Coturnix japonica: one gene and its partners. The protein of the gene in region 4 interacts with the protein of the main gene of each other region in a biochemical or structural test. Links are inferred from orthologs where the notes say so. Each region holds a gene or a part of one and is shown on either strand. Other genes may lie near its edges.

What was found.
Region 1: of the proteins of IKBKB (region 4) and TNFRSF1A, one has a biochemical effect on the other in vitro, tested with the Homo sapiens proteins (2 studies listed by BioGRID, with this or other methods). The link is inferred for Coturnix japonica from reciprocal best matches to the Homo sapiens genes IKBKB and TNFRSF1A.
Region 2: of the proteins of IKBKB (region 4) and NFKBIA, one has a biochemical effect on the other in vitro, tested with the Homo sapiens proteins (58 studies listed by BioGRID and IntAct, with this or other methods). The link is inferred for Coturnix japonica from reciprocal best matches to the Homo sapiens genes IKBKB and NFKBIA.
Region 3: of the proteins of IKBKB (region 4) and NFKB1, one has a biochemical effect on the other in vitro, tested with the Homo sapiens proteins (4 studies listed by BioGRID and IntAct). The link is inferred for Coturnix japonica from reciprocal best matches to the Homo sapiens genes IKBKB and NFKB1.
Region 5: of the proteins of IKBKB (region 4) and MAP3K14, one has a biochemical effect on the other in vitro, tested with the Homo sapiens proteins (3 studies listed by BioGRID and IntAct, with this or other methods). The link is inferred for Coturnix japonica from reciprocal best matches to the Homo sapiens genes IKBKB and MAP3K14.
Region 6: of the proteins of IKBKB (region 4) and MAP3K7, one has a biochemical effect on the other in vitro, tested with the Homo sapiens proteins (5 studies listed by BioGRID). The link is inferred for Coturnix japonica from reciprocal best matches to the Homo sapiens genes IKBKB and MAP3K7.

The regions. Positions count from the first base shown.
Region 1 is NC_029516.1:71,182,997-71,186,496, forward strand, and holds part of TNFRSF1A (tumor necrosis factor receptor superfamily member 1A), read left to right. Parts: intron 1-2,444; coding exon 2,445-2,646; intron 2,647-2,941; coding exon 2,942-3,070; intron 3,071-3,229; coding exon 3,230-3,373; intron 3,374-3,500.
Region 2 is NC_029520.1:32,789,818-32,793,987, reverse strand, and holds the start of NFKBIA (NF-kappa-B inhibitor alpha), read left to right. Parts: upstream 1-1,370; 5' UTR 1,371-1,475; coding exon 1,476-1,789; intron 1,790-2,034; coding exon 2,035-2,143; intron 2,144-2,602; coding exon 2,603-2,813; intron 2,814-3,305; coding exon 3,306-3,394; intron 3,395-3,507; coding exon 3,508-3,768; intron 3,769-4,170. UniProt on the Homo sapiens protein: Inhibits the activity of dimeric NF-kappa-B/REL complexes by trapping REL (RELA/p65 and NFKB1/p50) dimers in the cytoplasm by masking their nuclear localization signals.
Region 3 is NC_029519.1:54,747,493-54,750,992, forward strand, and holds part of NFKB1 (nuclear factor NF-kappa-B p105 subunit), read left to right. Parts: intron 1-1,866; coding exon 1,867-2,068; intron 2,069-3,062; coding exon 3,063-3,232; intron 3,233-3,500.
Region 4 is NC_029537.1:4,090,047-4,093,546, forward strand, and holds part of IKBKB (inhibitor of nuclear factor kappa-B kinase subunit beta), read left to right. Parts: intron 1-530; coding exon 531-619; intron 620-861; coding exon 862-951; intron 952-1,327; coding exon 1,328-1,452; intron 1,453-1,779; coding exon 1,780-1,887; intron 1,888-2,176; coding exon 2,177-2,306; intron 2,307-2,714; coding exon 2,715-2,897; intron 2,898-3,079; coding exon 3,080-3,194; intron 3,195-3,500.
Region 5 is NC_029542.1:888,616-892,115, reverse strand, and holds part of MAP3K14 (mitogen-activated protein kinase kinase kinase 14), read left to right. Parts: coding exon 1-236; intron 237-713; coding exon 714-783; intron 784-1,121; coding exon 1,122-1,332; intron 1,333-1,447; coding exon 1,448-2,056; intron 2,057-2,457; coding exon 2,458-2,595; intron 2,596-3,081; coding exon 3,082-3,211; intron 3,212-3,500.
Region 6 is NC_029518.1:68,395,939-68,399,979, forward strand, and holds the start of MAP3K7 (mitogen-activated protein kinase kinase kinase 7), read left to right. Parts: upstream 1-1,241; 5' UTR 1,242-1,396; coding exon 1,397-1,486; intron 1,487-4,041. UniProt on the Homo sapiens protein: Serine/threonine kinase which acts as an essential component of the MAP kinase signal transduction pathway. Plays an important role in the cascades of cellular responses evoked by changes in the environment.

The DNA of each region.
Region 1 (3,500 bases), on a different chromosome or scaffold from region 4:
CTGAAGCAATCACACAAGAACGGTGATGCTGCACCCTGATTTCTTTGGAGTCTCCTCACTCTTATTCTCTTCCCAACTCCTAGAGCTGCTAATTTGTGTGATTCACTGTTGTATCAACTGGAGCTGTCAGCCAATAAGTTGCTTGGAAGGCATGGGAAGGAGCTAGGATTGCTTCCCAGGTGAAGAGCGTGCATGCGTGGCTGTCACCTGGAGGAGCAGAACGGCTTGAGGAAGTTGTGCATGTTTTCACCTGCGGTTATTACGTTGATTTCTGCGTCAGTTTCAGAATTGAAGCCTTGAGTTTCTACTGACTCGTTTTTCCTGGGCAGCACCCGCTAGCTAAAACCATGAATCACCGATGTGCACAGTGTGGTTTGGTGGTTTGAGTTATCATTCGGTTCGGTAATCCAGGCTGTCCATTTTTCTGAGCAATGCTGATTTTTGGGCACTTGTTTGTTCTCCTGGCAAGTGAGATTAGAGCAGAGAGTTGAATGTCCAGCAGCGGAAAACCACTCGTTTCAGTTGTAGAGGACCTGTAAACTCAACCTGCCGCCTAGATTTGAGGCTTCCTTGCTTGATAATTTCATGTATTTCCTGAACTCTTTATTGTGGGTGTAAACAAGTGTAACTGCTCAGTGGTCTGGGAGTTGCTTAAGATGGTGGTGGGTTGTTTTTTTACTTTTAAAGGGCTGAATCATTGGTTGTGAGTCATCTGTGGTCTGACACACTCTGATCCTCAGATTTTGATCAGTAATAACGAATGTACTAATTCTGGTTTGGTTACACTTACTGATGTGCTTTCACTTAATCTGAATGATTGCAAACACCTTTCCTGTTTTCCTTTCTGGAGATGTATGTGACTAATCTTGCATCTGTTTTTGGCACGATCTTTGATGCTTCCCTTTGTTGTTTATATTACTGGCTTGTTTGACTTTTGGACTAGCTGTATATATTCCCTTGCTGGAAGATGCATCATTGGCTGAAGGGCCAGTTTTTTATTGCTCCTATCAGACCATCTGTGTGAACGATCTTTTACCCGTTTCCCCACAGACAGTCAATCTTGTGAGGCTGCTGGAACAAATGTTATTTCTTACTTAATTTTGGAATGTTTGCATTTATCCTGCGGTCAGCTAATCAAGCCTGAAATGACAGCTATTTAAATATGTGATTTTAAAAATTCTTTTATTTTTAAACTTGTTACTATTTTAGCAGCTGGTGTCTTCAGTATGTCTGATGTGTGACAAAGAGCTCTGAAATCCTTGGGGGAAAAAAATGAGTTATTGCTTTGTTAGAGTCGCCAAGCCCTATCCTTCTTAAGGTTTTAAACGTGTTAACTTTCTCCTCCAAAGCTTTAATTTTGGGACAGAAACAGGGTAGCGTGGGGCTGTCATAGCCATTTCATTTTGCATATCCTCTCTGAAGATTGCAACCACAAAGCTGGTATCAGCGTTGTGGTTTACCCTTACTGGTTTGCTCTTCTTTTGCTACAGCCCTCGTAGCCAAAAGTAAAAAAAAAAAAGGCAAAAAGAGATCTGTGTAGTTGGGCAGCAAGGTACCTTATTGACTGCAAAAATGAAAGCTGGGAACACACTGCAACGCAATGTAGAGAAGTTAGTATAACAAAGCTCAGTGTGCAGTTCTATGGGCAGGAGAGATGGTATTCCTTTTCATGTTGATGTTGTTTAATTTTTGATTGTCTGAATACAGGGTCTATTTTTTCTCTTGGACCTGCAGTCTGAGGACTTGTTCATGTGTTGTGCTGAGTCTGCCCACATTCTCATGCGCAGGGTCTTTGGCTGATGACTCATCTGTTCTGTGGTCCTAGCAGGATGCAGACCTTTTGGCCATGACACAAACAGAACATTTCTCAATTCTGCTGCTGGGAACGGTGTCCATTTGCAATTCAAGCTGTTCGTTAACCCTTTGTTCTGCTCTTCCTTCCAGTGCATACATGCACACATCATACTGCAGTCAAGGCAGTCATTTATATTGTTAAAATAAATAATATCAATAACATAATAATCTATAGCTAAAGTAATTCTAATTAAATTAGAATTGAATACCCTACTGTGATATCATCCTGTGCCTTTTTATTCCAGACTTGCCATCTGGTTTTCTTATTCAGTTGTCCTGCAGGTACTGGATGCATTCTTCTCTCTGGAACTGTTTCTAGATTGACTTATTCTTTTCCTTAATGAAAACATTCCTTTGCTCTTGGTTAATTTTCTTGCAAGCTGCAGCATCTTCAAGGCGTTCCATCTATATGTTGTACATCACCAAAAATATTTGCTCTGTGTACAGCTAGCTTGTATTAATAGATATGACAGGCATGGCTCCCTCTAATACTGAGCACTGCTGAAGTCAGCTGTGCAGTCTGCCAGGAGATGAGAGATTCTCTAACATTTTTCTTTCTTTTTCTCCCTTTCCCTGTTTGCTGTTTGCAGGTTATCTTAACATTTGTCTGTGTGCTGATGGAGGAATCAGTAGGAATTGCTCCAGTGCCATATATGCTGCGACTCCGTCGGGTAACTTTGGATGGAAGAGATCCCTTTAACCTCTTAAGGAGAGAAAAGAGGCAGGTGCAGTGTCAGCTTGGACAATACCGACATCCCAAAGGGACCCACTGCTGCATGAGGTGCCATGCAGGTACAGTTCAGTAGAATAAGTGCATTACTTTTCACCTCAGTTGCATTCCCTTGTCCCGTGCTCTCATTCTATCTTGTTCTATAGTGACGTCAGTGCTCCGTTTCCTTGACAGGGAATTCTTTCTTCCTGTCTCTTTTCCTGGACTGTCAGTCTCCTCTATGCTGGTGAGAAGATATATGCTCAGTCCTTTCCCTGTAGATTCCAGGGTTTCTTTGAGGATTCAGTGACTTCAATCCTCCCCAAGACAACACATGTATCTTCCTGTCAGATCTCTCTTAAGCTGTTTTTGTTGCAGGTACCTACAAGTCAAAAGACTGTGAACGGCCTGATCTGGCCCCTGTCTGTCTTCCCTGTCCTAATGGCACATTCACAGCTGTTGACAACATCATGGAAAAATGCTTCCGGTGTACACGGTGCCGTACAGGTGAGTTATCTGTGGGCCCTGGGGAAAACTGGTGGTAGTAGTAGCTGAGGGTCTGGGAAAAAAAAGTGTGTAGATTAGGGGCTAATAACAACTGTTGTCATAACAGTGGTCTCAGCTGAAGGTAGAGTTGGTTCAGTCACTTTTCATTCCTTTCCTCAGAATTGCGGCAGATAGAAGTGACCCCATGCACCCTAAAGCAGGATACCGTGTGTGGCTGTCGGAAGAATCAATATCAGTTTGGCCAGGCTGATTTCTTCCAGTGTAAGAACTGCAGTCCGTGTGTTAATGGAATTATTGCTAACTGTAAGTATAGCATGGGTATACAGATATATCTACTGGCAGATGCCATTAAGATAGATGTTAGCATCCCTCTCCTTGCTTTCTACTGTGGTGCAGCAGCTTGCCCTTAAGCGATTTCAGCTTTGGGACA
Region 2 (4,170 bases), on a different chromosome or scaffold from region 4:
CTATAAAAGAAAAAGTTGCCTGGCTTTCCTAAACCTGCCCAAAATCACCGGTGGCTGTCCCAGACCTTGAGATGAATAATGAGAAAAAGGCCAGGAATGGTATGGCTGGGCTGGAAACCAGGACCAGCTGTTTTTGGGAACCCACGTGCCCTCTCTGATCTTCCTCCCTCTTTCATCTCTGGGTTTTCTCCCAGGGCCTCTTGCAGAGAGACATCATCCCACGGGAAAGTGGCTGGAGCACATCTCGGGCAGTTAGTCAGCCAGGCCAGCAATTGCTGCAAGAGAAGAAAAATTCTTAATGGGAATCCCCCACATCTGAGTAGCAGCAGAGAAATTCACCAGGGAAAAGTTCGGCATCACTAAACCCACACTGACTTTAATCCTTATGAGAGGCTGCATTCAGCCAGCTTTCATTGCAAGCAGATGGGAGGGCACCAGTACAAAGCAGAGAGGAAAAAATTAAAATGGACATGGAATAAGGATGCTGACAGGATATAACACTTTTTAAGGGGGAAAAGGGGGTTTTTTGTTTGATTGGTTTTTGTTTTGTTTTTTTAATCTGCACAAACGTTCTGAAGGGTTCTGTAGAGTCCGTGGCAAGAACTGTGTGCAAAGAGTGGAACAGGACTTTCCTGCCTATTCCATCCCATGCCACTGAGACAGATTAAAATCTTCCACAGCAGAGAGGTGAGTTGTTACGAAGGCTGATGCCATACCTGCAGGCCTGCAGCCAGTATGACAGTTTAACACAAGTCAAGCACAAGACTGTATGAATCTCTCTAAACATATATATATATATATATTATCATTGTGACACCCTCAAGGCTTTGGGACATGGGGTCAGCGCAGACAAGCTCCTCTCTGCAGCCCTGCAGGGAAGTGTGTTGCTTCCCTCCCCCAGGACTGGTGCAGGACAGGCAGCCCCATAGGACAGGTGTGGGTGCTGCTGGGACAGCACGGGCACGAGGACAGAACACGTGTAGCAGGGTGGACTCAGCGTACCGACGGGAGCCTCTGCATCCACCCGTCTGGACAGTGACTGGCTTTACCGCGTCACTTCGCCACCAGCCGGCCGAAATATGCCCCCGGTCCGACGCAGGTCAGACGAGCGCTGGTTAATGCCTCCTCGGGGAGGCCCTCTCCCCGATCCGGGCGGGGAAGCCCCGGGCGGGCCGCGGTGCAGGGCAGCGGGCCGGGCGCCGCAGGGAAGTACCGCAGGCACCGCGTTACTCAGCGGGACGGCGAGTACTTCCCCCTCCCCCCCGCAGGCACGGCAGGGAATTCCGCCGGGCTGGGCCGGGCCGCGCTGCTTTGGGCCGGCCCCGTTCCTCCCCGGCCCGCCCCTGGCGCCGAGCAGGACCGGGCTCGCCCGAGTGGCTGGAAATTCCCGCGGCGGCGGCTCCTCCCCCGCAGAAATCCCCTCGCCGGGCTGTATAGGCGCCGCCGCCGCCGCCGCCGCCGCCGCTCACTCGCGGATGCCCGTCCGTGTCGGAACGCCGCCACCAGCAGCAGCAGCCGCGGCGCCGCGCCGCCCCTCCAGCCCCGCCGCCATGCTCAGCGCCCACCGCCCCGCAGAGCCGCCCGCCGTGGAGGGCTGCGAGCCGCCCCGCAAGGAGCGGCAGGGCGGGCCGATGCCTCCCGACGACCGCCACGACAGCGGGCTGGATTCCATGAAGGAGGAGGAGTACAGGCAGCTGGTGCGGGAGCTGGAGGACATCCGCCTGCAGCCCCGCGAGCCGCCCGCCCGGCCGCACGCCTGGGCCCAGCAGCTCACCGAGGACGGCGACACGTAAGTCGGGGCCGCGGGAGGCCGGGCCGGGGCGCGACGGCGGCGGGGAGGCGCCGGGCGGGGAGCGGAGCGGAGCGCGGAAAGTCCCTGGAGCGGAGCCAGGAAGAGGCGGCTCCGCGGTGCGGAAAGCCCCGGCTTTCGAAACCCGCACATGACTGCGGCCGTGAGCCGGGGGCCGCGTCAGCCGCGTCCCGCTGGGGGGATTTGGGTCTCACGTGGGGCGCTTCCTTTTTTCCTCGGTGCAGTTTCCTCCACTTGGCGATCATTCACGAAGAGAAGTCCCTGAGCTTGGAGGTGATCCGACAGGCCGGTGGCGACGGCGCCTTCCTGAACTTCCAGAACAACCTCAGCCAGGTACGCTGCGCCCCCGGGCCGGGCCGCCCCCGCAAAAGGCCCGCGGGGAATTCCCGAGGAGAAGTTTCTGTGTAATTGAATGGATGTGAAGTCGGAGCCCACGTTGGGGAAAGCACCTGGCTCACTCCATGCGGTGGGGGTGCAGCGCTTTGTCCTGCTGCAGCCTCTCGCGTTTTTCATACGCGATGCAATGGATCGCATTCCTCTCCATTGGGATGTTAATGATGCCCTTCCATATGGATAGAATATGTGATATCTGGAGAGCCCCAAGTCTACCATACCATACCATAGCTACCAGACTACAGAGCAGCAGTGTGCTGTGCCAGGAAGCGCTAAGAACTGACTTGCAGTACTTGCATTTGGGCAGAAGTCCTCAATAGCCACTGCAGGGTTTGTGTATTTGAACCTTTGCTAAACTTGTCACATAACTCAAAGCCGTGTGTTCCCTCCTGCCTGCAGACTCCTCTCCACCTGGCGGTGATCACTGACCAGCCTGAGATCGCCGAGCACCTGCTGAAGGCTGGCTGTGACCTGGATGTCAGGGACTTCCGTGGGAACACCCCGCTCCACATTGCCTGCCAGCAGGGCTCGCTCCGCTGTGTCAGCGTCCTCACACAGCACTGCCAGCCCCACCACCTCCTCGCCGTCCTGCAGGCCACCAATTACAATGGTACGTGTGCTCTGCCCTAGCAGAGATCTCAAGAGAAGTATCTTCTTCCCATTGGAGTGCTGAGGAGGGCCCAAAGCAAAGAAGCATCTGACTTCCTTAAGATGTTGTGGGTTCAGCCTTGCGGGCCTCCTCGCTCATGGTCATTGGCTCTCATGGGCCTTAAATTTAGTATTTTTAGTGAGTGCTTCTGCAGTACTCATAGCAGTTATGTTTTTGTGGGTTGTTTTTTTTTTTTTTTTTTAGAGGGTAAAGTTGTTACAGTAAGGCACAGTTAAAACCTAGAATAGATCCCCTAAGAAATCCAACCCAATCCAAAATCCAACCCAGTTATCCCTGTTATCAGGAAGCTGGAAAGCTGTTTTGAAAAACATGGTTTTGCCCCGGTTGATTTACTAACTTAGATACTCTTCTGTCTTATCATCTTGACTTTAAACAAGTTATGGGGCATTAGGTAAGACTTACTCAAATTTTGCCTTTGTTTTTATCTTCCAGGACATACATGTCTCCATTTGGCATCTATTCAAGGATACCTGGCTGTTGTTGAGTACCTGCTGTCCTTAGGAGCAGATGTAAATGCTCAGGTATGTAATTTATGCTATGAATTTAAGTGAGCTGTCTAGTCGGAAGAATCAACAGGTGTGACAGTGCTAAGCCTCACTCCCCTAATGCAATACCTCATGTTGTATCCAAACAGGAGCCATGCAATGGGAGAACAGCACTACACTTGGCCGTAGACCTGCAGAACTCAGACCTGGTGTCACTTCTGGTGAAACACGGGGCAGATGTGAACAAAGTGACCTACCAAGGCTACTCCCCATACCAGCTTACATGGGGACGAGACAACTCCAGCATACAGGAGCAGCTGAAGCTGCTGACCACAGCTGACCTGCAGATACTGCCCGAAAGTGAGGACGAGGAGAGCAGTGAATCAGAGCCAGAGTTCACAGAAGATGAAGTAAGTCCTGTTTGCTTCTTTTCAAGAGAAGAGTCACATCCTGCTCTTTGTTGTTTGGCTGGTACTGCAGTGAATGACCTCTTCCCTATGTAACTTTTGGGGGTTACAGCCCATGAAGTAAGGTTGTACTGCCAGCCATCAGAGGGGTGGCAGTTAGGGCAGGGTGGCAGTTAGGGCAAGGTTATAAACAGAATGAGCTTAGGAGTGAAATATAAATAATACAGTGGGTAACAGAGGGTAGCTTCACACTGTATTATTTCTCTGAGCTGATGCCTACAGAACTTAATGAGATAAAATAGTTAATGGGTGGGTTTGGTCTTCCCAGCATTTGTTTTTGTGATGGTTAAATAGCAAATGTAACCATTTCAGTGTAGAAGTTGCAGACGTACTGGAGTTAGGGCA
Region 3 (3,500 bases), on a different chromosome or scaffold from region 4:
CGCGGTGACATGCTGTAAGGAGGTGGAAGAACAAGGGTGTGCTTTTTCCTCTGTTAATTCCTAACTGCCTTGGTGTTAAGAGAAATGTCTCCATTTGTTTATCATAGAACAGCCCCAAATCCTACTGAATTCTTCAGTTTGTATTTTCATTATGTGGCTCCTCTATTATTAAACCAGAGATGTGGCGACTTTGGGATCTTTCAAACTTTGTAATGCAGGACAACTCAGGGTCATGATTGAGTTGCTGAAGAAGCTTGTAGCAGCTGTGTCTTTCTGTAGCCTAGAAGGTCCTTGTGCCCGCTGTATGAGCACCAAGGTTTCTCTTTTGTTTCTTGGCTCACAGTGTAACATTTAAAGCACACAAAAAAGCACGTCTTTTACCCAGCAGGGAAGTAACTGTCAGCAGCCCAGCACAATTATCTCCTTATCTGTAACACAGACTGAGCTTCTTCTGCTGCAACTTAGATGGGCTTTAAAAAGAGCTGTGAAAACTTGCCAGTACAAGGAGCTCTTTTCAGCCATGCGCACCATTCCGTTGTCCTAAAGGCACCCAGCTGGATGGCACACAGAGCACTTGTGAGATTGGTGCCATTTCTTTCTGTTCAGCACCAAGCTGTAAACGGTAAAGCCAAGGCTTCATTCTGTGCAGATAATCTCAGAGGCTTTATTGCGACTTCTTTCTTCTCTTTCATGTTTCGTTTTTGTGTTCGCATAAAGGAAGTTCGAAATGTGGAAGGTGATGAAAGCAAGAAGATTCTGAATTGAATTTCTGTGCCCTCTGTTTAACAGAAACAGGAAGTAAAACTGTGCCCCATACAAGAAATAAATCTCAAACTACCAGACTTCTCCAGCTGTTCTACCTTCCACTTTAACCTTAAGCCAGTGATGGGAGGAAATGCAGGTTGAGTCTAAGGTTTTCTTCTGCACAGATACTCTGAAAGATGAATCATGCTTTGTTGTATAAATTCAAGTAATTAATTGCAAATACATTGGCGTTTCCACTGACAAACACAAGCTTATTGTATAGAGCTGAAATTAGTTCCTTTTTTACAGTCATCTGTAAATATAAAAATAATGATATGGAGATAGAATCTTCTGTGTTTTTCAGATTGTTTTATTGTGAGGAATAGGATTTCCCAAAGCACTGCAGTGCCTCACTGTTCAGTGTATACTTTGTGATTGGTGAAGCTTCTTACTGACGAGGATGCAGAATACAGTTAACCTTTGGAAAAGCCTGAAATCTCAGCCTGAGAGCCTCAGTGCTGCGGGTGTCTGTGCAGAGATGGGAACCAGGCAAACAGTATCAGCTCGATGACGTTGTGCACTCTGAGCTTTGACAAACAGAACTGCGAGTTTTTTCTGCTTTTTGTATGTAGCTGTTTTGAAGGATAAGGAGATCCTAAACCTGTGGCTGGGAACTTTTAGGAGCAAAATTAGAGTATGGTTCAGTTGCGGAGGCGGAGCTGAACAGGCTCTATAAAGTGTGTGCGCTCCTTCTGTGGCAGGAGCTTGGCAGGGGGCAGCTGTAAACAGGGTTATTACTGCCTCTGGGAGTACAGGGATTCTCATTTCCCAAGTCCCTTGCATGACAAACAGCCAGGTTAGTCCCCCAGTGCACAGAGCAGGCAATGTCTGCCTTCCTCCTCAGGTCTGACTGCTGACACCAGTGAGGTGGCTTTTATTTCCACTAAGTAGAAACCCTATCTGTATTATACAGCAGAAGAAAATGTACAGAAGTTTTTCACCTGCGCCAGCATTAAAAGTGGAGCAGCACCCCACAGGAGGTGCTTTTATTGGCTCAGCCGATTTCTGTAAAGGCGTGTAGTTGCCGCTCATCTTCTCATGGCTCACTTCTGTCCCTTGCAGACCCCCTTGCACCTGGCAGTAATCACAAAGCAGGCAGAGGTGGTAGAAGACTTGCTGAAGGCTGGAGCAAATGTCAACCTTTTGGATCGCCACGGTAACTCTGTCTTACATTTAGCTGCTGCTGAAGGAGATGACAAGATTCTGGGTCTGCTCCTCAAGCATAAGAAGGCATCTTCAATGATCGACCTTTCCAATGGTGAAGGTATGGAACAATAGTGCCTGTACTTCACATTTACTTACTGCCTAGACAAGCACCGCACCATTTCTGACAGCCCAGCCTTTCTACATAGATACAGACTTTGGAAGTCGCATCTTTCCATGGTTTGCGCATTATATCCTTGGCTTTTACACACCTGCAGTCAGCTAAGAGAACAAAGACGCGCAGGCTTTGTGGTTAGACAGAACACAGAGGTTGACAATGTCCGTATTGCAGTGTGAATTGGAACTTTTTCTTCTTCAATATCACAGAATTTCAAGAGCTACGTTCCTCTTGAGCTGCCCTACAGAACCACTGTTAAAGAAATTCCACCTGAAAATATTTCCTCCTCTCTAGTGAATGAAATCCCCTCAAAAGGCATTTCTGGACCTGTGTCAAGTATCACCTCTGGAACTTTGGGACCACAGAGTCTTAAAGCTTATAAAATACCCATGGAGACCCAACTCTCCCACTATTTAATGGCACGGGTCATTTGAATATAGTACTCTTGCACTAGGTGTAGATAGTAAAATACCTGACCTAAAAATGTCATTATGTGAATTAAAAACCTGTGTTAAGTTCCTCAGAGAGGGTCTATTCTTCTTCTTATTTATAAATAGAAAGCTTTATGATTCTCTTTTTGAGCCGCTGCAGTTAATGTTGAGGTGCCAGGGCTGTCTGACCTTAACGAGCATTAGTCACTCTCCAGGATGTTTCAACAACATTCTAAGGTGAGCTCTTCCTTCTTCCCTTCTGTTCCAGCCCTGCTATTAGCTGATTGTTTTTTTTATGCATGGTTTCTAGTCCCCATCAGTAACACAAATAATTCCAACTTTGTGCACAAAGAACATTTTAATTAACACCATTTTTGGTGCTTAGACAGGCAAAGGTGCTCAGATAAATACAGTAACACTCAGTCATTTTGTAGCTGCTTAAGAAGTCATCACTGTGACATTTCTGTGTTGTTCAAGTGTTAATGTACACAAATGGTTCTGTGCAGGTCTCAGTGCAATTCACATGGTGGTGATCGCCAATAGCTTGTCCTGTCTGAAACTGCTGCTTGCTGCTGGAGTTAACGTCAATGCTCAGGAACAAAAATCTGGACGAACTGCATTGCATTTAGCTGTTGAACAGGAGAACATCCCCTTGGCAGGCTGCCTTTTGCTCGAGGTGAGGGCAGAAGTTCTTTTCCCCTGGTCTTCCCAGAAACATATTTTCAAGGCTTTTTCAATATGTCAGCCTTCAGTGGAACCGAAGTCATGTTTCTCTTTATAGACTCGATTACTTTAACCAGCATAATGGCGAAGTTATCGCTAATGTTATTTATTTGCTATTAGTCATTCAGCACCGCTGATGAACCTTTTGTAAGCTGAGAAATATAGTTGGTGACCCTGACCTGACTGCCTGCGCCGTGCTTAATTTGCACTGAGTAACCCCA
Region 4 (3,500 bases):
ATCTTGTCTAGGTAGAATTTCCTAGTTTTGGGGTTGCAGTGGCTCTGTGTGAAAATTTGGGAAATTCTCATGAATCTGAAAAATTTTGGGAGGCGAAATGGGTGGAGCACCACTTTATGAACAGAGCAGAACAAGATGTTTGGCTTTTGGATCCTGATTTAAGACTGTTGAAGAAATGGGCAAAGAAAAGCTCAGTATAGCCGTTCCTTCAGTGAAGACATGCATTTTATTTCTGCCAGCTGTTACAGTTCTTTTTCAGCCTTTAGTTGGGAATGGGTACAGAAAATGACTTGAAGAGAGGGGAATGTACTGTAACTGTTAAAGATGTCACTGCCAAGAGAACAAATTTGTGTCTGGATGTGTTTGACACTTTTTCCTCTTGCACTTGGAACTTTATTTTTCAGTCAGTGATCTTGTCCTTTGTACAAGATTCAGCTCAAACACCATGCTTGTACCACATAGAAGTGAAACTTTTGCAAGCTCATACTATGTACTTCCACATTCTTAGCAAGTGGCTCTTTGTGTCTCAGCCTCTGCTCTCAGGTACCTTCATGAGAACAGGATCATCCATAGAGACTTGAAACCAGAGAACATTGTGCTGCAGCAAGGAGAGCAAAGGGTAAGCAGTAATGTGGTGTCTGCCTACACAGACAAGTAAATGTAAGTGGAGAAGGTGCATGTGCTTGCTGCAGTTACAGTGGCGAACATGCAGAAGCAGTCAGCCTAGGGTAACAGCTCTCTCAGATCTGTGTGTCATTCAGCACCCTTCCTGTGTGTCTTTGAAGAGCTGAACTGTTTTTGTCTGTTGTACGTGTGCAGCAAAACTTGCCTCTAGTGTTCTTCTTTTGTTTTGTTTTTCAGTTAATACACAAAATCATTGACCTGGGATATGCTAAGGAGTTGGATCAGGGTAGCCTATGCACATCCTTTGTTGGGACACTGCAGTACTTGGTAAGGAAGGTATTCAGCTAGATGGGCATCTCCCACTTTGCTGTGGGACAAAGTTAATAGTGCAATTCAAGTTTGGACTGGGATGAAGTAATCATCTTGGTAGGGGGTGCGTTTGGGGTGCTGCAGCTGACAAAGATAACGTCTGCCCCGTTTCCCCCCTCTTTTGCCTTCCACCCCGATGGATTATCATAGTGTCTATGATAACACAGTGTATTGTATTTATGAGAAGCAGGAGTATTCTGTGAGATCTCAAAGCTCGTGAGAGGCAGTGTTTCAGCACAGCCATTAATGTGATACAAATGTTATTGAGCTCTTGAGGGACAGAGAGAACTGAGAGATGGATGGCTTTGACTTCTGCGTGTGTAAACTGTCTCAGGCTCCAGAGCTGCTGGAACAGCAGAAGTATACGGTTACAGTGGATTACTGGAGCTTTGGCACACTGGCTTTTGAATGCATTACAGGCTTCAGACCATTCCTACCCAACTGGCAGCCAGTACAATGGTGAGTGACCTTGGGCCAGGTGATAAAAAGAATGCATGCGGTGCCATTGTCCTGTCCATGGGAAGTAGAGGTGTGGTCCCTTGATTCTTTAGGGTAATATCCCTGTATTCCATACCCTTATGGAGATTGACTTCTTTTACTGGAGTTTGATCTGCTTGAGCAAGTTGAGCATTCCTTAGATTTCTCTTGGGAATCGGGACTGGCTTCTGCAGGGCAGGTAGCAGAAACTAAAGCAATGTCTTTGTTTTAACTGTAAAAGTTTGCTAACGTGTGTGCTGGGAAGGGCAAGTGATAACTTCACTGTTGTACTTGCTTGGAATTCATTAGGCACACGAAAGTGCGACAGAAGAGTGAGCTGGATATTGTTGTTTCAGAAGACTTATCTGGAGAAGTCAAATTTTCTAGCAGTTTACCCCGCCCAAACAATCTAAACAGGTGAGGACTAGAAATCTGTCGTGATCTGTTGTGACGTACTGAAATGAACTTCCTACTCAGAATGGACCACGTTTTATTTTATATGCTTTTCTGTAAATAAGTTGAGTGCTTGGCACAAACAGTGCTTGTGCACCTTATCAGATGTGTAGGTGTGTCTCCATTTCTCCTTCTAAAGAGCACATTTACACTTGGGAAAAGAAAATTGGTTCAGTTTTTCTGCAGAGACTTGTCCATGTCGTGATTATAGATGCACTTTCTTTTCTGATCCGTTCTTGCTTTGGTCCTTCAGTGTTTTGGCTGGGAAACTGGAGAAATGGCTGCAACTCATGTTAATGTGGCACCCACGGCAGAGAGGTACTGATCCTGTCTATGGGCCCAATGGGTGTTTCAAAGCTTTGGATGACATCTTGAATTTGAAGGTGAGCAATGCACCTGGGTTACTTTCCCAGCAAGCAGTTGAACCTAGTCCATGAGACAGAAGCCTTGAGTCATCAGCCTAGGAGGTGGAGCAGCACAGAATCTTACTTAGCAATGTGCTTTTCTCATGCTTCTGGGAGTAGCAAGTAGCTTCTGTATGTTCTTGATCCTGCATTCTGGCAAAGAACTCTGCTGAAAAAGCTGTTTAATTGGCACGTGAGCTCTTTTCCAGCTGATGAAAGATGAGGTCTTGAGCATATAATGTTATGAAGTAGCTGCAAAGTGACTTTTTGAACTTTGCATGTGCTTTGAAGCAGTTTATTGGTGGTCAGTGTCTCAGTCCAGAGATTTCTGCTCAAACATAACCGTTTGTTTTCAGCTGTTCTCATGTCATGCTGATCTCCTTTTAGTTACTGCATGTTTTGAACATGGTGACGGGAACTGTGCACACCTACCCTGTGACAGAGGAAGAGACCCTGCAAACAGTGAAGGCCAGGATCCAGGCAGATACAGGAATCCCAGAGCAGGATCAGGAGCTACTGCAGGAGGCTGGTCTTGCATTGTTTACTCAGAAGCATGCAGCTGATAGCAAAGTGAGTCTGGATATTCCCCTTCCTTGGCTGTTCTGCAAATTTGCAAGTGCAGCTCTTGGGACTACAGCACTCCCTGCTGTTCTGGTCATGTTCTTTCTTGGAGAAGAAGAGCATTTTGTTTGTGGTGTTACTGGTGTTTGCTGTTTTTGAGAGATCACTGTTGTGTCTTCTGTCTTTTGCAGGTGAATGATGCTGCAGCTGCAGACACAGACCTCCTCTTCCTCTTTGATAATCAGAAAGTTGCCTATGAGGCTCAGGTTGCCTTGCGACCTCATCCGGAAAGTGTTGACTATATCCGTAAGGACTTTCTCTAGTACAAATGTTCATGTTGAGAGGGCTGTCTGTATTCTGTAGTCTGTATCGTGGGCAAAGAGCAGAGAGAGATTTTGTATATTGGCACTAGAGAAGCAATAAAAGAGCCTGGCGTGGCATTTATTCAGCTTTTAAAAATAACTGAAGGAAGGAAGGGGAAGCTGCAAAGATGGTAGCCAGCTCTAAAGTTTGTAAGAGGTGGGGTCTTGGCTGCATGCCTTTCAAGGGAGTGATGTTTTAGTCTGTTTTGTCATGTGATAATGCTACTTTTAAGCTTCATACTGATTTCCC
Region 5 (3,500 bases), on a different chromosome or scaffold from region 4:
TGTGTGCCATGGAGCTCCCGCTCCGCCCACCAAGCAGCAGCAGGAGCTCAGTGCCACCAAAGGGCTGCACGAGGCCGCCAGCGAGAAGCAAAGCAGCGTTTGCAAAGTGGAGGATTCCAAGAAAGCCATCTTCCACAGCCAGTGGAAAATCCTCAACGACGTCATCACCAAAGGAACAGCAAAAGAAGAAACAGAAGGAGGCTGCGCGTCCATCTCCATTATTGCCCAGGCAGAGTGTGAGTAGCAGGGAGCGCTGCTGTTCATTGAGAAGGGCCGCGCGAGGCGGTGTGCGGTTTCACTCTCCTGGGGAGCCCAGCTGGGATCTATTTGTAATCCCACGTGGGGTGGAGCTGCTGACACATCCTGGGCTCTATTTAGGCAGCGCATGAAACCTCTTAATAATGTGGCAGCATTATTGAATGGCACGGAGTAACAGAGCAGTGCATGGCTGCTGCGCTGTGATGGCAGGAAATGCATCACAGAGTCCTGCCTGTGCTCTTGGCTGCTGCTGAGGAGCGTTCTACAATACTAATAATGGTAGAAATGCTGAGAGGGGGTCAGGTGGGGGACAGCAGGGGATCAGGAGGTGGCGGTGCAGTGCTGTGGCTCTGCTGGGTCTCCATGTGGGTTAGTACATTGGGAGGGGGGGGTTCCCCTCCTCCTTCTTACCATCGTGCTGAAGATGTGCAGTGATCTTGTTTTCTTTCACATAGGTGAGAACAGCCAGGAGTTCAGCCCCACGTTGTCAGAGAGATCCTTCATTGCCCACAGCAAACGTTACAGGTGAGAGATCCCAGAATACAAATGCTGCACTGCTGTGTGTTGCCCCATCCAGGTCGATAGATCTGTGCTCTCTGTGCTGTCTCCCTGTCAGTGCTGCCTGCTCTGCTGCTCCATCTGGGAGCTCAGCTTTGTCTGAAATCACTGAGCAGACCTGCTGCTTTTCAGGGGTGGATAAACAAAAGGGGAAGAGAACCTCTGCTTAATAACAGCATCAGCAAAAGGGCTGTGAATAGAAGCAGCTCAAGGCTCAGTCTTCTTGTCCCCGTTTGTAGCTGTAAGCTGAGGTTGTGCTTTCCCCATCCCATCTAAGAGCTCTCACACGTCTTGGTTTCCAACAGCCGCTCAGACAGCCTCGATCAGATCCCAAACAATGTGGCCCACGCGACGGAGGGGAGGATGGCTCCCACCTGCTGGAGGGGGAGGCATCGTGGTAAGGCGAGGAAGAAGCGTCACAAGAAACGATCCAAGCTGAAAATACAAACAGTGGCTGCTGGCAGACGGGGCCCCAGAACTCCAGAACAGGAGAGCTGCACTCCCATTCCCGTACAGGTGAGACCTTGTGGGTGCTCGTGTTGTGTTGCCAGGACCCCTACAAAGCACTGAGCCCTCCTGGTTGTGTCTGGGCACTGTCCTGAGGCTCCCACTGTTCTCTTATGTTTCCTAGGAGGATGAAACACACCACAGTGCTCTCTACAGAAACAGCTTTTGGTTATCAGAACTGAACAAGAACTGGCTTTACGATCCACCCCCGTTTCAGAAACCCGAGAAAGTTCTGTCCGCAGGCAAACTCAATTCAGTGGGCAGCCAGCACAAAACTGACCTGCACAAGCTGATAAGCCCTGTCCAGTGCCTTAATCATGTCTGGAAGCTGCACTACCAGAGGGACAACGTCCCTCAGCCTGAAACTGTCCGTCCTTTTCCATACAACATCCTGCCCCCTCCATTCCCACATCTGGACAGTCCTATCCATCCCATGAAGCTTAATGCTCTGGAGACATATTTCCATCACGATCTCAATTACCCAGACAGTGAGCATCGCTTGTCTGGCCTGAACTTGGGATTCAGCTTCCCCAAGTGCGTCAGCCAGTCCATGAAGAGCAGCTTGGACAAGGTTTCTGTGGAAGAATACTTGGTGGACGCCTTGAAGGGCAGCGTGAGCCTCGGGGAGCCGCAGAACTTGGCCAGCCTTGCCAAGACGTGGAGGGGAGGCGGTCTGGACCTGAAGGAACAGCTTCAAAAGGCAGATGAGAATGAAGGCGTGCTGCTCACTGAGGTGATCTTCCCATCCTACACAGTCCTGTCGTGGTAGGCAGAGCTTCTCTTGGGCTTCCAAAGAGAGAAGCCGTATCCTTCTGTCACAAGGCTGCCTTTTCCAAGGGGATATCGATACGGTTGAACACTTTCAGGCAGAGATGTGACATTGTTCTTTGGAGGATATAAAGCCCCGGCTTAGCTTGGAGACTCTCATTTGTCCATACGTTTGCTTGTCTGGGGGAAGCATTTCTGAGCATTGGGCCTATTTTGTTTCACCTCAAGGCAGCGACAGAAGAAACTGAGTTGGTGGATTTTTAGAGCAGTGATGTTGTACTGTTTGTTGGGAGCTGTTCAGCTCCACCGACAGCAGCTAAAGTTTCTCTGCTTGCTTCATCTTGTTTTGTGGTTCTCCTCCCCTAGAAACTGAAGCCGGTGGATTACGAGTACCGAGAAGAGGTTCACTGGACCAAGTGCCACGGCTCTCTGGGCATCGGCTCCTTTGGAGAAGTGTACAAAGTAGAGGACAAGCAGACGGGATTCCAATGCGCTGCCAAAAAGGTAATTATGTGTGAGGAGGGGGGTGATGTGATGTAGGAGACCAGGCTCTATAAAGGGAAGGCGTCCCGTCGCCATGCAGGCTGTAGGTGTGGTCATAGCACGGTGACGACGAGAATCCAAAGTGCTTTGTTTGCACGTAACGCTGGCGTGGTTCCATCACCTCTGTGCAACTGTTCCTCAAATGGCTGCCGGAGACAACTGGAAAGAGTATTTGTGTGTGTGTGTGTGTGTGTGTGTGTGTGTGTGTGTGTGTGTGTTTTGGGGGAGTTTATATTGAATCCAGATGAGTTATGTGTGAAAATCCATCTGAAAGCCTTCACTCGTTGCATTGGTTGCAGTGCAGTGGCTGTCTCATGGAGGCAGCAGATGAGGCTCATCCAGGCTTCCTTTAAGCGTTCTGTTTTTCAGCTGGATAGAAACAAACGTAGCTACAGCACACAGAAAAACATGACGGGCGTCACCAGATCCGTTCCTCTGTTCCTCCAGGTGCAGGTCGAACACTTCCGTGCAGAGGAGTTAACGACGTGCGCGGTGATAACGAGCCCTAAAGTTGTGCCGTTGTATGGTGCTGTGAAGGAGGGACCTTGGGTGACCATCTTCATGAAGCTGATGGAGGGTGAGGAAGGGATGGTGCAGCACAGTGACACGGATCTCCTCCCTCCCATCTCATTAACTATCGGGTGCCCCAGCCCTGTACTCGTGGGTGTGCTGGGAAGCCGCCTGCTGTCCCCGTGGGTGTCTGGCTGCTGTTGCTGTTTCTGGGCAGTGTTTCCAGCCCAGCCTTGCTCCATTCCAGCTGCACATTCCCATTGAAACACAGAGCTGCTCCCTCCTGGTTTTGGTGCTGTGTTTATCTGTGCGTGTTGCCTGATGGCAGAGCACGCTGGACAGACAAACCTGGGTGC
Region 6 (4,041 bases), on a different chromosome or scaffold from region 4:
TCCACTTTTTCTAATATCATCTGAGTCATCACGATGGTAGGTTACTGCACATGTTCCTCCTTGGTCTTCTATTTCCTAGTTAACTGCTTAAGCAGCTTTTCCAGACTTATTCTGTAAATCAGCTTCCTACCTCATTTACTTGACATCACTGTGAGGTACAAACATTTCAGCAAGAAAGCCATGAATGCTCACTAAAATTAATCTACTAAAATTACATGCTATTAACAGTATTTTACAGTGGCATAACTTTTCTACATAGCATGGAGACTGAATGCACTCCGCTGGGGCTATGCACAGTGAGACACATGAGTCATACTCACTTCGTCCCACCGTATGTTTCACACTGTAGGTAGCTCTAAACGCTACACTTGGGAGATGGATCACCAAGATACAGATGCGTTGCTCAAGCCAGCAGTGCAAGCAGGCACTCGCTGCTGGGAGGACAGGCTTGGATTTCCTGTGGACAGGAAAGGGAGTGGTGGAGGTGTGTGTTCATTCCCCAGTCCTATCCCTTGTCTGCTATGTGTTTACACCAGTAAATTACCTTCTGCTCCTCCGCCTCCCTCCTACACACATACTTTCGTGAGAAAGTGCTGCTGTACAGCTCAGTGCTGCACTGTGCTCCTGCCTTCAGAGCCGCGGCCCGAAACACCCCGCACTTCTTCCTGCCGACACCGGGATAGGAACCGGGGCAGGGACACGCCACCCGTGCCCGCCCCTCGCGGCGCCAGCGCTGTAGGCAGAGGAAGCGGGGCCGGCAGAGCTCCCCCTGGCGGAGCCGGGCGGCGGGGCGGGGGGCGGAGCGGCGGTGCCGCCGCCAGGCCATGGCCCCTCCGCGGCCGCCTGAGTAGCAGCGGCTGCCGGCGCGTTTCCTCTTCCCGCCCCCTCCCCCTGCGCTCCCTCCCCCGCGTCCCCAGGCCGGGGCGGCAGGAAGCGGCTCTGATGTCAGCAGCGGCCGCCGCGGCGCGGCTCTAAGCGGCTCCCCCACCCCCGCCGCGGCCCCTCGCCCGCTGCTGCCTCCGGGGCGGGCGGAGGCGGCCGGCTTCGGCCCCAGGGGCGCCCCCTTCCCTCCGCCGGGGACTTGCGGCCGAGGCGGCTCCCAGGCTCCGGAGAGGCCGCGGCCTAGGGCGGCCGGTGTAGCGCGGCGCGGTGCGGGAGGGCGCGGGATGCAGAGCGGCGGCGCCGCCGGCGGGGCCCCCGCCCGCCGCCACTGAGGCCCGCGGCCGCCGCGGATGCGGCCTCGCCCTGCGCGGCGGCGCCTCGGCCAGGCCCTCGCCGACCTGCGCCCTGCAGGAGGGCAGGAGCCGCCGCCGCGCCCCGACTAGAGCCGGCCCGGCCCACCGAGCGCGGCCCCCGGCCTGCCCTGGCCTCTCCTCCCCGAGGTGAAAGAGGAGGGATGTCCGCTGCCGCCTCCGCTGAAATGATTGAAACCCCCCCCGTCCTCAACTTCGAAGAAATCGACTACAAAGAAATCGAAGTGGAAGAGGTGAGTGGCAGTCCGGCCTCTCCCGGCGCGGCCTCGCGAAGCGGCGCCTGCCTCAGGGCCGCCCGCTCCAGGGCCGCCTGTCCGAGCCGCGTTCCGTGTTCAGAAGGGGTCGCGGCGCTGCGGGTCTCCCGGTGCGTACCTGTATGCCCCTCTGGGAGCCAGAGCCTTTGGCACCGGGCAGGGAAAGGTGTGCAGGTGCCAGGTTCCTCGCTTATTGAGGACACGAGAGCGAGGGGCTGCAATGTGGGCTTTTATTTTAGCCCAGTTCGTTCTGGGCTTCAAAATTCCTACACCACCACCCGTTTTAGTATGGAGAGTTGTCAAGCACTGTCACGAGGGGAAACTGTTAATTTCATTGTTCCTTTCAGATCTCTGAGTGTTTCTGCATTCTCCTCTTGCCACCTAACTGCATCGTTGCATGTATGTTCATCACATCGGTACCAATGATTTCCTGAAGTTACAACTCCAACAGTTGACGCACATCTTCTTATTTTTAACATAGGCTGACTATGTTGCACTTGTAGATCTGTAACACTTCATCTGTGACTTGTCACTGTTACCCAGGAAGTGGCACTGGGTTACCTTGTACCATAGTATATCTCCCTCTTCTGTACAAAGTTTCACAGTGAAGTGACTCTCTGAAGTTCTTTGAAGTTGTAACTGTGGTACAGTGCGGAATTTCATACCTGCTGTTTTGCCTCCTGGATTTCTTGTAGCTGGTAAAGTTTGAGTCCTTTACTAAAGCACATATATCTACTGCAGGGGTGTTCAAATCTCAGAAACACACAAAATATTCCTGTTGGATTTCTCTCCTCTGCATTACACAGATACATGCTGAATTTATTCAGGCTAGTTTGTGGTCAGGGTCAAAGAGATATCCAAGACTGCTGAAACAGTGCTTCTATCTGTTGATTATTGTCTCTCAGTAATTATATATACATATATATATATATATATATATATATATATTCTTTCTTTTCCTTAAGATACTCTTGTGGAAGTAAATTTAGCTATTTGTAGTAGCTTTCATGGGTATTACAAGCACTGTCTCACGCTGAGTGACATGCTAGACATTGGTTTAGTCATAATCACTATACTGGGCTCACATGGCCTGGGAAAGCTCAGGAAACAAAGTCTTTGGTATTTCAGTAGAACACCAGAGCAGTTTGTGATGTATTTGGATAGCATCAGGGTACCTTCAGCTTTCACCATTGCAGACACTGGAAGCTCTCCTAGTGCCTTCCAGAAGATAGCCTTAATCTTCTTTGTATATTGCAGTCATTATGGGTTTTTGGGTTTTTTTTACTGTTTAGTATTTCCTCTTCACTTTATAAGTTTAACTGTTGTGAAATGAGAGTATTTTATGATGTTTGGGAACGAAAAGTATTTTAATCATTTGATAATGTGTTGATGTTTGTGCATCACTTACTGATGGGCAGGGATCAAACCACGTTTTTTCAGCAGAAATTGCTTTCCTCACCCAAAGAAGAAAATAAAGTTGGTAGGAATTTAGCCAGCATGAAAAGTTGTTCTGTGATGGCTCCTGAAAGTGAGTAGTACATATAATGCCTTACACATAACACTTTGAATGAGTAAAACACTGTGCAAACCCTTAATCCTCACAGCACCCTTGGAAAGACTATTAGCAAGGGCTATATTCGCCTTTGCTTGTAGGAAATGTGGAGTTGCACAGCGTGTAATTGGTGTAACTGGAACTTATCATTCTGAGTTTTAGCATTCAGGGCATGGATATGCCCTACATACTTGCCGTACTAGCACTTGCAGAGACAGGAACATATGTACATACGTTTTTGTAGATATGATGCCTAAGCAGTAATTTGTGCTTTATTTAATGTGATTGTTGCATTACCCTCCATGTAGTATTTCTGTTGGAGGTGACAAATCTCATGTAATATAAGCAAGGGAGCCCTGATGAAGTGTTCTTGTCATGAGGAAGGCTGCTGACAGCTGTTGTAACACTTTGAGTTATGCTTTTTATACCTGTCCTACAAGAAAGTCTTATTAGGCAACAGGGCTACCATAGCGCTGAATACAATCTAAATGTCATTGCACAGTGGAAGAGTTAAGATCTACCTTACATTAAAGCAAGTGGATTAAGGAAAGCAAGGCCTAAGCATGGTTCTTACGTGTGGGTGTTCATAGATGTAGTTGATGGTGCAGTTTCCAACAATACAGTCATAACAAACCATACGCTGTTGATGAAAAATTTCAGTACTTTCACTGCAGATTCAGAAGCTTTCAAAGGTTTTTATCTGGCTATAAGTACTTGAAATGGTCTATTTTTTATGTACCTGATGAGCTTCAGATGTTTCAAATTGGAGTGTCAACAGATCTACAGTGGAAACTCAAATGAATGCTTGTATAATCATAGCTTTGCTGTTGTATTATCAAGGCTGTCTTGTCAGCAGATAGCAGTTCTCCTCTGCCACGGGTTTATTAATAGATATGGAAGTTCTGAAATACTTGCAGGCACTGAGTCCTTGCTAATAAACGTGAGATCCATGAGTGCACTTCCATCTAGGTTTAGTTGATCA